3 linked regions of the Arabidopsis thaliana genome follow. The protein of the gene in region 1 purifies or fractionates together with the protein of each later gene. This does not show direct contact. Each region holds a gene or a part of one and is shown on either strand. Other genes may lie near its edges.

Region 1 (4,612 bases):
TACTTGTAGCCACTTGGAGCCTCTTTTTTTTTTTTTTTTTTTTTTGGTCTATTATGTCACACATACAGACCCGAGTTCCTTTGGTGAATCTCAGGACACTCTAAATGGCAGAGCACATGAAATTCCCAGTTTAGCTTTAAATACATGTTCACATCTTACATGAAAACTGATTAAATTACTTAATCTCTAATGCGGATTTTATCTTCTTTTCCATGTAGTTAATTTCTGCGTTTCACTGACTATAATGAGTAATTTTAAGAATCAGCTTTTTTAATCCTAACTGTTGTTGTATACTACTACTCTAGATTGCTCTGAGACGGGAAAAGATGGGAGAAACCGCTCCGTTTTGGAGATTTTCAGCGGCATCATATCCACATCTTGTAAAGGAATCATCTCATGAGACTGTTGCAGAGAAAACAAAACTAGCATTGACTGGAAATGGCAATGCATCATCCGGGGTATAGAAATATTAGCTAATTTATTTTCTCCCTGTGTATATCTAAGCACTAGTAGATTGAACGAGATTAACTGATACTTTATTTTAGGGTGACGTTTATCCAGTGGAACCCTATAACGATTTCAAACCGGTCCTTGACGCTCATTGGGGAATGGTCTACGATGAAGATGTAAGACACGTTTCTCGGATACTGCATTCGTTTTATAATTTTCTTTTTGATCCAGTAAATCCTTCGAAATTAGAGGTCAAAGTGAACTAAAACTGTTTACCTTTTTGCAGTCGAGCGGACTTCGGTCCCACACATTATCTTTACTTGTGGCCAACGTTCCCGGAGTTCTCAATCTAATAACTGGAGCTATCTCTAGAAGAGGTTATAACATCCAGGTTATTATGCACACACTTTTGCTTTTAGCTTCACCGATGTGATGCATACTACTCATTTCTCTCAAGAGTATGTGAAAGTTGTTGCTTTTATTGCTCTAGAGTCTAGCTGTTGGTCCTGCTGAGAAAGAGGGCTTATCTCGGATTACAACAGTTATTCCCGGAACTGATGAAAATATAGATAAATTGGTTAGGCAGCTCCAGAAGTTGATTGATCTTCAGGAGGTGAGCTAATGATTCGAAACCGTAGTGTACTTTGGTTTTAATTTTAATTTTATATGTCTAATAACGTTTCCCTTTCATTGGCTTTTCTAGATCCAAAATATAACGCACATGCCATTTGCGGAGCGAGAACTGATGCTCATCAAAGTAGCTGCTGATACTTCTGCAAGGAGAGATGTTTTAGATATTGCTCAAGTTTTCCGTGCTAAAGCCATTGATGTCTCTGATCATACTATCACCCTTGAGGTGCTGATATCATATCTCCCTGAACTTTACAACAAAAAGCTCTCGTAGCTTTCTGATATTTCAAGCTTGAGATGAGATCTAGTAGCTGATGAAATCCGTCGATTTGCAGGTTACAGGGGATCTCAGAAAAATGTCTGCATTACAAACGCAGTTAGAGGCCTATGGAATCTGCGAGGTTAAAAAAAAGTTTCTTGATTTATCTCTAATCTCTTCACAGACACGGTCACTGTTGTGTCTGGCGATTCTTATGGTTTGTGTTTTATGAAAATTGAAGGTGGCTCGGACAGGAAGAGTGGCATTGGTAAGAGAATCTGGAGTGGATTCGACTTATCTTCGTGGATACTCTCTTCCTTTGTAGTTCTAGAGGTTAGTAATCTCTTTTATAATCACAGATGCATCATGCATTGTTGTCGTTTTACATCATCATCATCTGTGTTATATATCAAAGGAAATTCTTGTGCAGAGGACTTGCCGCAAGCTTCAGTGTCGTTCCTGGAAACTAGTCAAAAGGACTGCACGTTGTTTCAGCATCTGTGATTGATTGCTTCCTCACGAGTCATGGCGCTTCGAGTTGTTGTTATAGGAGGAGCTATTTTATGAACTAAAAATAAATAATTATCTTTGTTCCGTTAAATTAGTTTTGCATACTAATCAAATGTAGAACACTGTTACTAGTTTGTCACTTATTTAGTATCAAAGACGTGTATTAGTATATACTCCAATCGATCTTAACTTAACAATTAAGCTCTAACCGGACCGGACTTGGTTAGATCTTAACTTAACAATTAAGCTTTAACCGGACCGGACTTGGTTAGAATCCTTCCTTGCGAACCAAATTAGGGCAAACTTGTAATATTGAGGAAACGTTTAATTCTTTTCGTGTTTCTTCTTCGCAGCAATTGCAGAAACTTAAAAAAAAAAACTCAAAAATTAGATCTTAATTCGAGGATTCTACTTCTGAATCTGAGGAAAAGCTATCCCAGATCCGATCAGATCTGTTTTGTTGATTCTCTTCTTCTTCAGTCAGTGGAAGCTATGATGGATTGCTAAAAGAGAATACAATACGCACGAAGCCACGCTTGAGAAACCATGAGAATGTCATCAGCTTCCGCCGGGGAATACCGGCCTTCCGCCGTAAGTCTCAGCAGTAACGGAGGTGGTCAACGAGATGCTGAGTCTCTTTTTCGCACGAAACCAATGTCGGAGATTCGAATTGTGGAGTCGGCGACTAGGAAGAACATCGAGGATAAGAAAGAGGAGCTTCGGCAACTCGTTGGGACTAGGTACCGTGATCTAATCGACTCAGCTGACTCGATTGTTCACATGAAGTCGCTCTGTGAGTCGATCTCAGCCAATATCTCTTCGATCCACGGTAACATTCGATCGCTTTCTTCTTCTTCTGTAGCGGAAACTCCTAAGCTTGCTAGCCTTAACCCAGTACGAGTCAATGTCTATGGGATCGCTTGTCGTGTTAAGTATCTGGTGGATACGCCTGAGAATATATGGGGATGCCTTGACGAGTCTATGTTTCTAGAGGCTGCGGGGAGGTACATGCGTGCTCAGCATGTGCAGCAGAGACTGATCAAGTTGGAGGGATGTGGTGGTGGTGTAGCAGAGGTGGATCAGAGTAAGCTGTTGGCGAATTTTCCACTATTGGAGCACCAATGGCAGATAGTTGAGAGTTTTAAGGCTCAGATTTCGCAGAGGAGCCATGAGCGGCTTCTAGATCCGGGTTTAGGACTGGGAGCTTATGTGGATGCCTTAACTGCTGTCGCGGTGGTTGATGAGCTTGATCCAGAGCAAGTGCTTGAGTTGTTTCTAGACTCGAGGAAGACTTGGATTCTGCAAAAGTTGAATGCTTGTACTGGTGAGGATGCGGGTGAGGTTGTTTTGGTGTTTTGTGATGTGTTAAGTGTGATTCAGGTTACAGTGGGACAAGTTGGGGAACTCTTCTTGCAAGCCTTGACTGACATGCCTCTATTTTATAAAACAATCTTGAGTACCCCTCCAGCTTCTCAACTGTTTGGTGGAATTCCGAATCCAGAGGAAGAGGTTGAGTTGTGGAAATCCTTCAGAGATAAACTGGAATCCGTTATGCTCATCCTTGATAAAAATGACGTTTCTAAGTCTTGTCTGACTTGGTTGAGGGAATGCGGTGGACAGATTGTTGGTAAGGTTAGTGGGAAGCATTTGATTGAAGCTATAGTTACTGGCGCGGAGCTTGGATCAGCCGAAAAGTTGATAAGGGAGACCATGGATAGCAAAGATGTCTTGAGGGGTAGTTTGGATTGGCTTAAAAGTGTTTTCGGGTCTGAGGTAGAGTTGCCTTGGAATAGAATCCGAGAGCTTGTTCTGGGGGATGATTTGAACCTATGGGATGAAATATTTGAGAAGGCCTTTGTGGAAAGGATGAAATCTATCATTGACTCCAAATTTGAGAATTTGACTAAAGCTGTCAATGTAGCAGATTCGGTACATGCTTATAGTGAGATTACTGGTGAGAAAATCAACTTCCAAGCATACTTAAACAGACCTTCTACAGGTGGTGGTGTCTGGTTCATTGAGCCTAATTCAAAGAAAGTTGGTCTTATTTCCGGAAATAAATCATCACCTGAAGAAAGCGACTTCCAAAGTTGTCTAACTGCGTACTTTGGTCCTGAAGTTAGCCAAATGAGAGATGCAGTTGATAGGCGCTGCCATAGTGTTTTGGAAGACCTCCTAAGCTTCTTCGAGTCAGAAAAGGCAGGTCCAAGGTTAAAGGATCTTGCACCATACGTGCAGAATAAGTGTTATGACAGTGTCTCAGCACTTCTTGCAGATGTAGATAAAGAACTTGAATTTCTATGTGCTGCCGTGAAGAAAGAGAACAAGGACAGTGAAGCAATTCCACCTGCTATAATAATTGAGAAATCACTTTTTATGGGACGCCTTTTGTTTGCATTGCTGAACCACTCAAAACATGTTCCCTTAATTCTCGGTTCTCCAAGATTGTGGTGTAGAGAAACTATGACTGCAGTTTCTGATAAGTTGTCATCCTTGTTGAGGCAGCCAAGATTTAGCTCGAATACTCCAGCCACTGCTGACAGCCCTGGAAAGCAATTGCATACCGATCTTAGAAAGCAGACTTCATTAGCTGTTGCTGCACTACTGGGAGCGGAAGAGAAAACAAGTCCAAAATTTGAAGAGCTTAATAGAACTATGCGAGATCTGTGCATCAAGGCTCATACATTGTGGATAAAGTGGTTATCTGATGAGCTTTCAGCTATTCTCTTGCGTGATCTTAGGAGTGATGATGGATTGTCTGCT
Region 2 (4,612 bases), on another chromosome or scaffold:
ATAATTGCCCCACGAATTATTACTTTGTACTCAATCTCTCCTATACAACTGTATGCAACTTTAAGAATTTCTATATAATACAAGCACAAATTGATACCATACTAAGGGAGCTATCGCACATAACAAGAGGACAATAACCAACAAGAGGTCTATCATACCTGGCACTCAGCTCGTTGAGCTAGGTTACTAAGGGCCTTGCCTATCTCACGCAAAACTAGAAGAGTCAAACGAGCATCTGGATGAACAGCCTCAATCTCATCTTGAATGTGTGATAATACCTGTGAAATCTGTTCTTTCGAAGGTAAACTCCCACGGCTCGACATAGGGAATATCGAGTTTACAAGGTCTGACAAGCGGCCAAAGCATAGGGATAAGAAAGCAGTCTGGAATATAGCAATGCATGCAACCATTTGTTCTTTCCTTTCTAAATTAATGGCAGGTAACACTCCTTTAACATCTGTATCACGAGAAATCCTTTCAAGAAGATTTTCTATCATAGACACAAGCTTCGGATATCCCATGGTGAATATTTCTTTTACAAAACTCGAAGCTGTGTATGCAGACTTCATTTGGCTAGTAAAAGCCTTCACAAGTGCATCCCAGACTCTATCGGTTAACATAGAATCGCCTTCCTGTGCATATAAACACTTCATGTAAGCAATAAAACCAATTAAAAAGTTGGAATCTAAACTAATCAACAGCCCTGACACCACAGAAACCCATCCCAAAACTTCCTTTTGATGCAAAAACATTGAAGGATCATCTACTTAAATTGTTCAAACATCATCGAGCTCGCTAAAAGTGACAAGAAACTCTGATCCTCTCAATGATCTAATGCAGCTTATTCCTCAGGACATTGACAATATCTTTAACTAACGAATAAACAAACTCAGGGAGCCTAAAATTCCAGTTAAATTCCGCACCTTGATGACTTCGTCAAGAAGAAGGACATGAGTAAATGGATCCCTCTTCTTAGACAGTACACGCTGCAAATGCCACACAGCAACTACAAGTGAACACAACTGTTCCATACAACTAGCCATCCTCTGCCACAACGCCTCCCTAACTTTAGCACCACCACCAATATGCGGTGATCCGCTAGACCTAATCCCACCAGGCCCGAAGCCACCACCTGAGCCAGAAGTAATAGCTTTCATATCCATAGCAACACTCACACTCTTCACAGCCATTCCCTTATACTTATTCACCAATTGATCCACCGTAGACTTAAGCTCTCCAAGGTTATAGAAAACTTGCAAACCAGTCCCAACTTCAGCTTGATTCAACCCTTCCATGCCTCTCTCCAACACCTTCATAGCTTCAGATCTCAATTTCTCTCCAATCTCAGTAACAAACTTGATTTCCTCATCAATCACATCAATGCCAAAGAGATCATACTCTTTACACATTGTTAAGATCTCGAAATGGAACTGTGCAGCTTTAGTGAGATCGATCTTATCTGGATCAGGAAAATCCGCTAGATCTCGAAGCTTCTTAGAGAGACGAAGCGTACGAACGGAGTGAGATAGTAACTCAGTAGCTGTATGGAGATTAGATAGCTGAACAGATTTAGATCGGATCGATTTGATCGGTTCAGAGAGGTCGGATCTGACACGGCGAATTGAAGATTGGAGTGAAGAGACGGAGGATCGGAGAGAAGAGAGAGATACATCGGCGTGTGAGAGAGAAGAGAGCTGAGCGAGCAATTCAGGGTGACGAGAGATGACGTCATTACGGAGCTGTGAATCGAGGAGGCGGATTGCTTGGTGGAGACGTTCGGCGGTGGAGGCCGGAGATCCAGAAGCGAGAGCGGCGGAGGAGAATGATGCGGAGGAGAAGGAAGATGAGAGGAATGGGGAGAGGATTGGATCGGTGGCAAAAGAATCGAGCGGCGAAGAAGAGGAAGATGACGGTGTTTGTGGTGGTGGTGCGCCGGAGGAGAGTGAAGAAGGAGGAGGGTTTTTGAAGGTGGAGAGACGTTGAAGAGATGGAGATGATGGTGAAGGAGACGATGGAGGTAGTGCCATTTTTTTACAGTTTCAATCTCTACAGGTTTTGAATTTTGCAATGGCGATTTTAGCAGGAGATCAAAGCGATACTCATTTTTCAAAGTTAATCTCTGAAACACCAAAAAAAAAAAAAAAAAACTCAAAGCGAAGTTATACGATAGTGAACCGGTCTACTTTAATTTCTGTGTCTGAATTTTGTTGGTTATCTACGAACCGGAATTATCATTTCTGGCATAGTCAAGTGATAGATGTAGTCATGTAGGGAATTTGTATCTGGATGTGAAAAAAAAAAAAAACAATTCCTCCTCTAAATCTCGTGATGTCATAAATTATGTAAATGTCAGAGATTGGTCCTAAAAGTTGGCCACTAAGTGGTGTAAGAATAATAAATTGTCAATATCAATTGACTGATTCTTATTGTTCATATACGGACACAAATCTTTTCGTTAAGTGAGTGTTTTGATCAAAAAAAGTTGAAAACTTTAAAGCCATGCCATCACTTTGGTCTAACGAATCCGATGGATCATTACGAGAGCATCTTGTGGATGTTGTTGTGTCTGGTTCAGAACCAAAGATTCGGGTACATGATCTGACCCGAGTCGCCGATGATGGATCTCGGATCTTGAAAGGAGTTACGATAGATATACCAAAAGGTATGATCGTTGGTGTGATTGGACCTAGTGGAAGTGGAAAGTCAACGTTTTTGAGATCTCTGAATCGTCTTTGGGAACCACCGGAGTCAACTGTGTTCTTGGACGGTGAAGATATAACCAACGTTGATGTTATTGCTCTTCGTCGTAGAGTTGGAATGCTTTTTCAGCTTCCTGTTCTTTTTCAAGGTAATAATCAAATTTTGGGATTTGCTTAGCCTCTAGTTTCATAGGTCTTGATAATGTGTGGTTGGTTACAGGGACTGTTGCGGATAATGTGAGATATGGTCCGAATTTGAGAGGGGAGAAACTAAGTGACGAAGAGGTTTATAAGCTGCTAAGTCTTGCAGACCTTGATGCTTCCTTTGCTAAGAAGACTGGTGCAGAGTTATCTGTGGGTCAAGCTCAACGAGTAGCACTTGCAAGGACTCTAGCCAACGAGCCTGAGGTGTTGCTGCTCGATGAACCAACAAGTGCTCTTGATCCGATATCGACAGAGAACATTGAGGATGTTATAGTGAAACTGAAGAAGCAGAGAGGGATTACTACTGTGATTGTTTCTCACAGTATCAAGCAGATTCAGAAAGTTGCTGATATCGTTTGCCTTGTTGTCGACGGAGAGATTGTTGAAGTTCTTAAACCAAGTGAGCTTTCGCACGCTACGCATCCAATGGCACAGAGGTTTCTTCAACTCAGTTCTTGAGACCATTTTCTCATTGATGGTTCCTGCAAGTTATTTGCTATTTTGCTTGAATCTTAATAATCTCTTTCAAGAGAGGAACAAATGCTGGTTGAATGTAACAACACCTTTCATGGTTTATGTCTTTTTATCTTCTCTTTAGCATACGAAAGCATATATATGAACAACAAACCTATCAAAGAATTTAGTCGAGATCCGATTGGTTTGATGAGATCTGCATCAACCGAGCTTAACAGGAACTACAGCAGGAACTTTGGGTGAAGAGGGATCAAGTGTGATGATCTCCTTTCTTCCTTCTCCTCCATTCTCAACTTTCTCTTTAACCGCCTTTGTCACTGCGCCAAACGCGTTTGAAAACCACGAAGCTCCACTTGATACATAAGGGTTTGCCATTAAAGCCGTTCTTGCACTGATTGCTGTCTCTTCAGCAGCTGCTAAAGCAGATTTCGTTATCTCCCTCACCTGATATCGCTCATCGATATCTCTCAACTTCTCATTAACCACAGTTGTTCCTATGCTTAGCTTTTCGCTCAGACCCATCTTATCGTCAAGCGATGCAATGGTTGCAGAAGCGTTTGAGATCAAGTTGTGTCTGTCATCAAATGCTTTGGCTTTCTCCATGGCGTCTTTTCCAAGAGCATAACCTCTTCCCACCATGATGTTCACCACATCTTCAGCTTTCTTGACAGAAAAACCATTAAACGAATGTTCCTGCTACACAGAGGAAACAACATGAACACCGAGAGAGTAACGAATAAATCAAAGAGTTTCCGGTCTTTACCGAGTCAAGTGCAAGGGCTTCTGGTGGTAGCTGATAGTTAACAGCAGGAGTTATACTAACACGAAGATCTGCAATGACAGCTCCCTGGAAGGAAATGTTTTTCGCTGTAAGCACTAATTCATGAAATATACGGAATGATGCATACGCGGAAAGCAAAATACCGTTAAGAGCATTGCAGTTTCAGCTCCTTGTGAATCCTTAAAAGTAACATATGCGACCTGACTCTCTTGTGTCTCACTGAGATCATTAGAGTAAACATTAGAGATATTGGTAAAGATCATCTTTAACAAGAAGATGATAATTTACAACAAGTTATTTTTCATACCTTCGCATCTCGACGTATTGAATGTCACCAGAGAAAGAAAAGAACTCTTTGACATCTTTCTTAGAAACAATTAGTGAAACATTGCTAATCTTGACAGTTTTCACCTGCACAACAATGAATCAATACAAAGCCTTTGAACAGACAGCT
Region 3 (4,612 bases), about 16 Mb from region 1:
TCAGCGTATCTATTAAGATCCTAAGTTCAGATTCCGCAAACAGGTGCTGAATATTTCTTGCAAAGGAACCAGTTACGTTGTGCAGTTCAATCAGAGCCTCAAGATGCTTGGTCTGAATATTAATACCCTTGGGCAAGTCTCCAGATAATAGATCCATCACACCTGTTCAAGGAAAACATCAGAATTGTCAGTATTCTCCTAAATACACAAAATACAGATATAAGTCAATTGAAGATAATCGTGCATTGTCTGGAAAATTTCCAGTGACTAAATGAAAAATGTAACAAATAAGTTGTTGTTCAAACTTCCTGCAAGTCTCTCTTGCATATTGACAGATTCATGACATCGGCCACTATGCACAAAAATTACAAACTTAACAAGAACAGCCAAAAACTTTAGCTCATGTAAAGGCAGAAAAAAGTGATACTCTTCTTACATCTATCTACCCAAACATGAGGATGGTAGAGTAGAACCACTAAAGAAGCAACGCAATCCCAATTCAGCTGGGTAAAAAGACTAGACTAAGAAGGAAACCTAATAATCAAACTGTACTGACATCATATCTAACCTTTGGCGAGTGCTTTTGTTTCAGGAACAGCATCTCCAGTTGCAAGGTTAAGACGAGAAACAAAACTAGCCCCCAGTACTCCCATGGTCTCAACCAACAGCTTTGGGACGAGAGTCATGTAGTCATCAGGGAAGGCAACCATACACCTAAACAATCATGAAAGCAAAAACGTACAACAGTGATTGATACTTAAAGCTGCAATCACCTAAAGATCTGACATACTGTCACTGGAAGGGCCCGGAAAATATATACAGTTTACTGTAAATAAAAGTAAAACATTTACCATTTCCACTCTTGCTCAAGATAGAGTAGCAACTCGTCGTAAAAGCTTGTCAGCCAACTGGCAAATGATGTCTGAGATGATGTCGACTGAAACTCATCGCCGCTAGACAACCTTTGACTTTCACTTCTCTCATTGGCAAGCTTGTTTGCCCTTTGCTTTGTGTCAAAATCTTCCCAGAGTTGTTTAATCGGCTTTAGACGGACTTTTGAATATTGCAACTCCAGAGACTTGAATCTCCCAATCCGGATGAGAATTACTCGCAAATCTTGGGCGACATCAACCTGCCAAATTTGGGGAAAGGCTTTTCAGTCCAATAATGGCAACAGAGACATTACAACCTAAAGTAGTTGGGTTCTCTAGATATACAGGTTCCAACCTTGTGATATGTTAATGCATCAGTAAGACGTGGCTGCACCATCGCCTCCAGCCTATCTTCCAATACCTCTAGTTGCTTTCTCACATTAGCAAATTCTGCAACCTGTTGACAAAAATTGGACTTTAAGTGGTGACGGAAAAAGACTTAAATCCTCAGAGTACTGAAGCTGACATAAAACTACCTCTCCAACAGCAGACAGGCAATTTCGCATGCTAGCAAGAGTTTCTGCAGCACGAGGAAGATCGCCACTAGCAAATACATCCTCAACCGTCGAGCTTAACTGAGTTAACCCTGCAGCATCCTGTACATATACCAAAAAGAAGAGAATCAATTGCAGATCTACCCCCAAGTGTCCACATAATGGATCACAAAATCACTATGAATACTAACCTGTAGTGTTTTGTAGGCAGCCTCCATTCTCTGTTTGACATTGTCCACTCTAGCAAGCGCAGCTATACAATCTGCTGAAGAACCCTCTGCCTGCAGAGTACCGAATTCGATAAGAGCACAAGTTTCAGGAATTTGATATAATCTAATTTTCGAGAAGAGATCCAAACAAAATCTCAGGAATCAGCACAAATGCGTACCTTCTTGAGCTTCTGGAGGATTCCAGCAACAGAACCACGCAGAGACACAGCATCATCACGGAGACGCAACACGTCTCGTGTGGCACGAGGAACACGGAGGAGAGCACCACCGCTCTGCTCTTCAAGAGAAGCTCCGATCTCCTCGGAGGCAATCTGAAGCTTCATTTCCAGATCCACAAGATGTTTCTCGAGTGAATCCTGTGGGTGACGCGCCTGGCACGACGAGTTAACCCATCGCTTCGCATCGAACTTCTCATCTGAGAATGGACCTAGATCCAGCATCATCCTTGATCCGATCACCCGATTTACCTTAGATTCTCTTCAGCTTCGACGATGATGATGTTGAAGAGAAGAAGATCCTCTGATTTCGCAGATACACTGAAGAAGAAACTAAACCAAATCGATCTAAACCGACTTTCAAATTCGACTTTAAAACCAAACCAAAGTAAACGGAAGATAAATTTACAAATCTGGGCCCCAAAGTGATGGGCCGTCACGGAAAAAGTTTTCTTCTTTCTTTTTCTTTATTTTTCTTTATTTTACTTGGAGACCACGCAGTTCTAGAACCATCCTTAAGCGACTCTCTAGCCTCTAGCAGCTTCTTCTACTCTCTGTTCTATATAAACCTTTCTCTAACAGCTTTTTTTTCGTTCAAAGAGTATAAAAAATATCTCATCGAGCTTGAAAATAATTAATCACTTGCTAATTCTAAGCTTCTTCTCTTTCCAAAAATGGCGTCATCATCGGCTTTAGCTCTCAGGAGACTTCTCTCTTCTTCCACCGTCGCCGTCCCTCGCGCCTTAAGAGCCGTTCGTCCGGTGGCTGCTTCATCTCGCCTCTTCAATACCAACGCCGCCAGAAACTATGAAGACGGTGTCGATAGGAACCATCACTCAAACCGACATGTTTCTCGCCACGGCGGCGATTTCTTCTCACGTAAATCCATGGTTCCTCCGTCCAATTTCGCTATAGATTTTCCCAATTTGATACATGTTTAGTGATTTATGTATAGAGTACATCTAACTTTGTTTTGGAGATCTGTTGAATCTGAAAATTTGGTTGTTTTTTCAAACAGATATACTCGATCCGTTTACTCCAACGAGAAGCTTGAGCCAGATGCTGAATTTCATGGACCAGGTAAGCGAAATCCCTTTGGTATCAGCTACTCGTGGAATGGGAGCTTCTGGAGTTAGACGTGGTTGGAACGTGAAAGAGAAAGACGACGCGTTGCATCTAAGGATAGATATGCCGGGACTAAGCAGAGAGGATGTGAAATTGGCTTTGGAACAGAACACATTGGTGATTAGAGGAGAAGGGGAAACAGAGGAGGGAGAAGATGTTTCTGGAGATGGACGGAGGTTTACGAGTAGGATTGAGTTACCGGAGAAAGTATACAAGACTGATGAGATTAAGGCGGAAATGAAGAATGGTGTGTTGAAAGTGGTGATTCCAAAGATTAAAGAGGATGAGCGTAACAATATTCGTCACATAAACGTTGACTAGAGTGTTTTATTTTGGATTGTTTGAGATGGAATGGAAGTAAGTGAGTGAATTTGTGAACTTTAAGGTGTCCTTTGGTGAATCAAGGAGAATGACATTTCCCACGGTCCTATGTGTTCGGGATTTTGACTTTTTTCGTTACATCAATGATCTATGTACGTTTGACTACTTTCATATCATAGGTTCGGATTTTGTTTCCCAAATTCTTGATATCGGATTCTGGATATGAATATCGTAGCAACTATGATATAGTTGAAGTTATTTGGATATTATTTATGGAGAAAAAGAGTCTGCTAGGACGATTTTCTATCATTATACCTATGGACTATGGTGGTGTTATCAAACATGCTGGACAGAGCCATGATCAACGATACATTCGATGCTCATTCTCGATGTTCAAACTCGGTTTTATAAGGGGATGATACATCAAATTGATACCAAGTAACTGATTTTGAATGTGCTGGAAATGTTGATATAGGTCTCAGCAACCAGAAGAAGGTTGTGGGACAAGACTATTAGAGAATTTTGCTACCGTTTTTTTTTCACCTCTGTTTGGCAAAGCGCGCTCTTTATAGCTTTACTTCTTTGGAACCACTTCGGTGACCATAGAACTCGTTCGTGTCGGCATCGTCAAATTTAAGTAACTTTTTATTTACCGCATGGTTTATTATTTTGAGTTTTTTTCTTCCGCATTTTATATTCTTCATTTTTCCTTGTCCATCGAGAAAGAGAGACAAAAAGAGGACGCAATTGCCGGTGCTGAGGAGAATTTTCCAATCGCGAACTCAGGTTTTGATCCATTTCGCTCTCTGCAGAATCCACCATTATCTTCATATTTTCTTCTATTGACCTCAATCTTTCAGCTCATCTCTCTCCTTTGGTTAATTGAATTTCCCAGTTTCTTCAATTTTACTTATTTAATACATATCTCTCTCAATTGCAGTATCCTATGAACTTCGTGATCATGGTTTTGAATTTTACTTGCTTCGATTGGCCTACGTTATAAAAAAATTGAAACTTTTTAACTCAATTCTCTAACTTACATAAGCTTTTGGTTTGCTTAGCTTATGCAAAATCATGTTGATGCAGGGGACGTCATGCTAAATGAGAATCTGTGGGTTAATTCGGAGTGAGAAGGCTATAATAGTTTCTAATGGGGATAACATATTTGCACATTTCCGTGGCAACAACAGCTTTGAGCTTTGTGGGTTTACAAGTCTGGACGGAGTTGTCTCTTGATAGACTTAGAGCTGATGGGATAATCACCAAGAACATTTCTTTAGGGAATTCTGAGAATA

Evidence for each region.
Region 2: the proteins of AT5G16300 (region 1) and AT1G67930 fractionate together in Arabidopsis thaliana (co-fractionation; one large-scale study listed by BioGRID). This does not show direct contact.
Region 3: the proteins of AT5G16300 (region 1) and EYE fractionate together in Arabidopsis thaliana (co-fractionation; one large-scale study listed by BioGRID). This does not show direct contact.

The regions. Positions count from the first base shown.
Region 1 is NC_003076.8:5,335,724-5,340,335, forward strand, and holds the start of AT5G16300 (Vps51/Vps67 family (components of vesicular transport) protein), read left to right. Parts: upstream 1-2,171; 5' UTR 2,172-2,395; coding exon 2,396-4,612. Other genes in the region: VAT1 (VALINE-TOLERANT 1), read left to right, coding at 306-458, 546-626, 737-841, 941-1,063, 1,154-1,306, 1,416-1,481, 1,581-1,664.
Region 2 is NC_003070.9:25,475,306-25,479,917, forward strand, and holds the start of AT1G67930 (Golgi transport complex protein-like protein), read right to left. Parts: upstream 2,241-4,612; 5' UTR 2,028-2,240; coding exon 924-2,027; intron 633-923; coding exon 159-632; intron 1-158. Other genes in the region: ABCI17 (non-intrinsic ABC protein 3), read left to right, coding at 2,500-2,848, 2,920-3,362; AT1G67950 (RNA-binding (RRM/RBD/RNP motifs) family protein), read right to left, coding at 3,579-4,070, 4,141-4,224, 4,302-4,377, 4,466-4,569. UniProt on the Arabidopsis thaliana protein: Required for normal Golgi function.
Region 3 is NC_003076.8:20,888,697-20,893,308, forward strand, and holds the start of EYE (conserved oligomeric Golgi complex component-related / COG complex component-like protein), read right to left. Parts: upstream 2,312-4,612; 5' UTR 2,100-2,311; coding exon 1,815-2,099; intron 1,708-1,814; coding exon 1,618-1,707; intron 1,529-1,617; coding exon 1,409-1,528; intron 1,330-1,408; coding exon 1,228-1,329; intron 1,133-1,227; coding exon 852-1,132; intron 715-851; coding exon 569-714; intron 163-568; coding exon 1-162. Other genes in the region: AT5G51440 (HSP20-like chaperones superfamily protein), read left to right, coding at 2,546-2,750, 2,890-3,317; RIN3 (RPM1 interacting protein 3), read left to right, coding at 4,468-4,612. UniProt on the Arabidopsis thaliana protein: Required for normal Golgi function. Necessary for embryo development and pigmentation, especially for the expansion of cells and organs, and for the formation of the organized shoot apical meristem (SAM).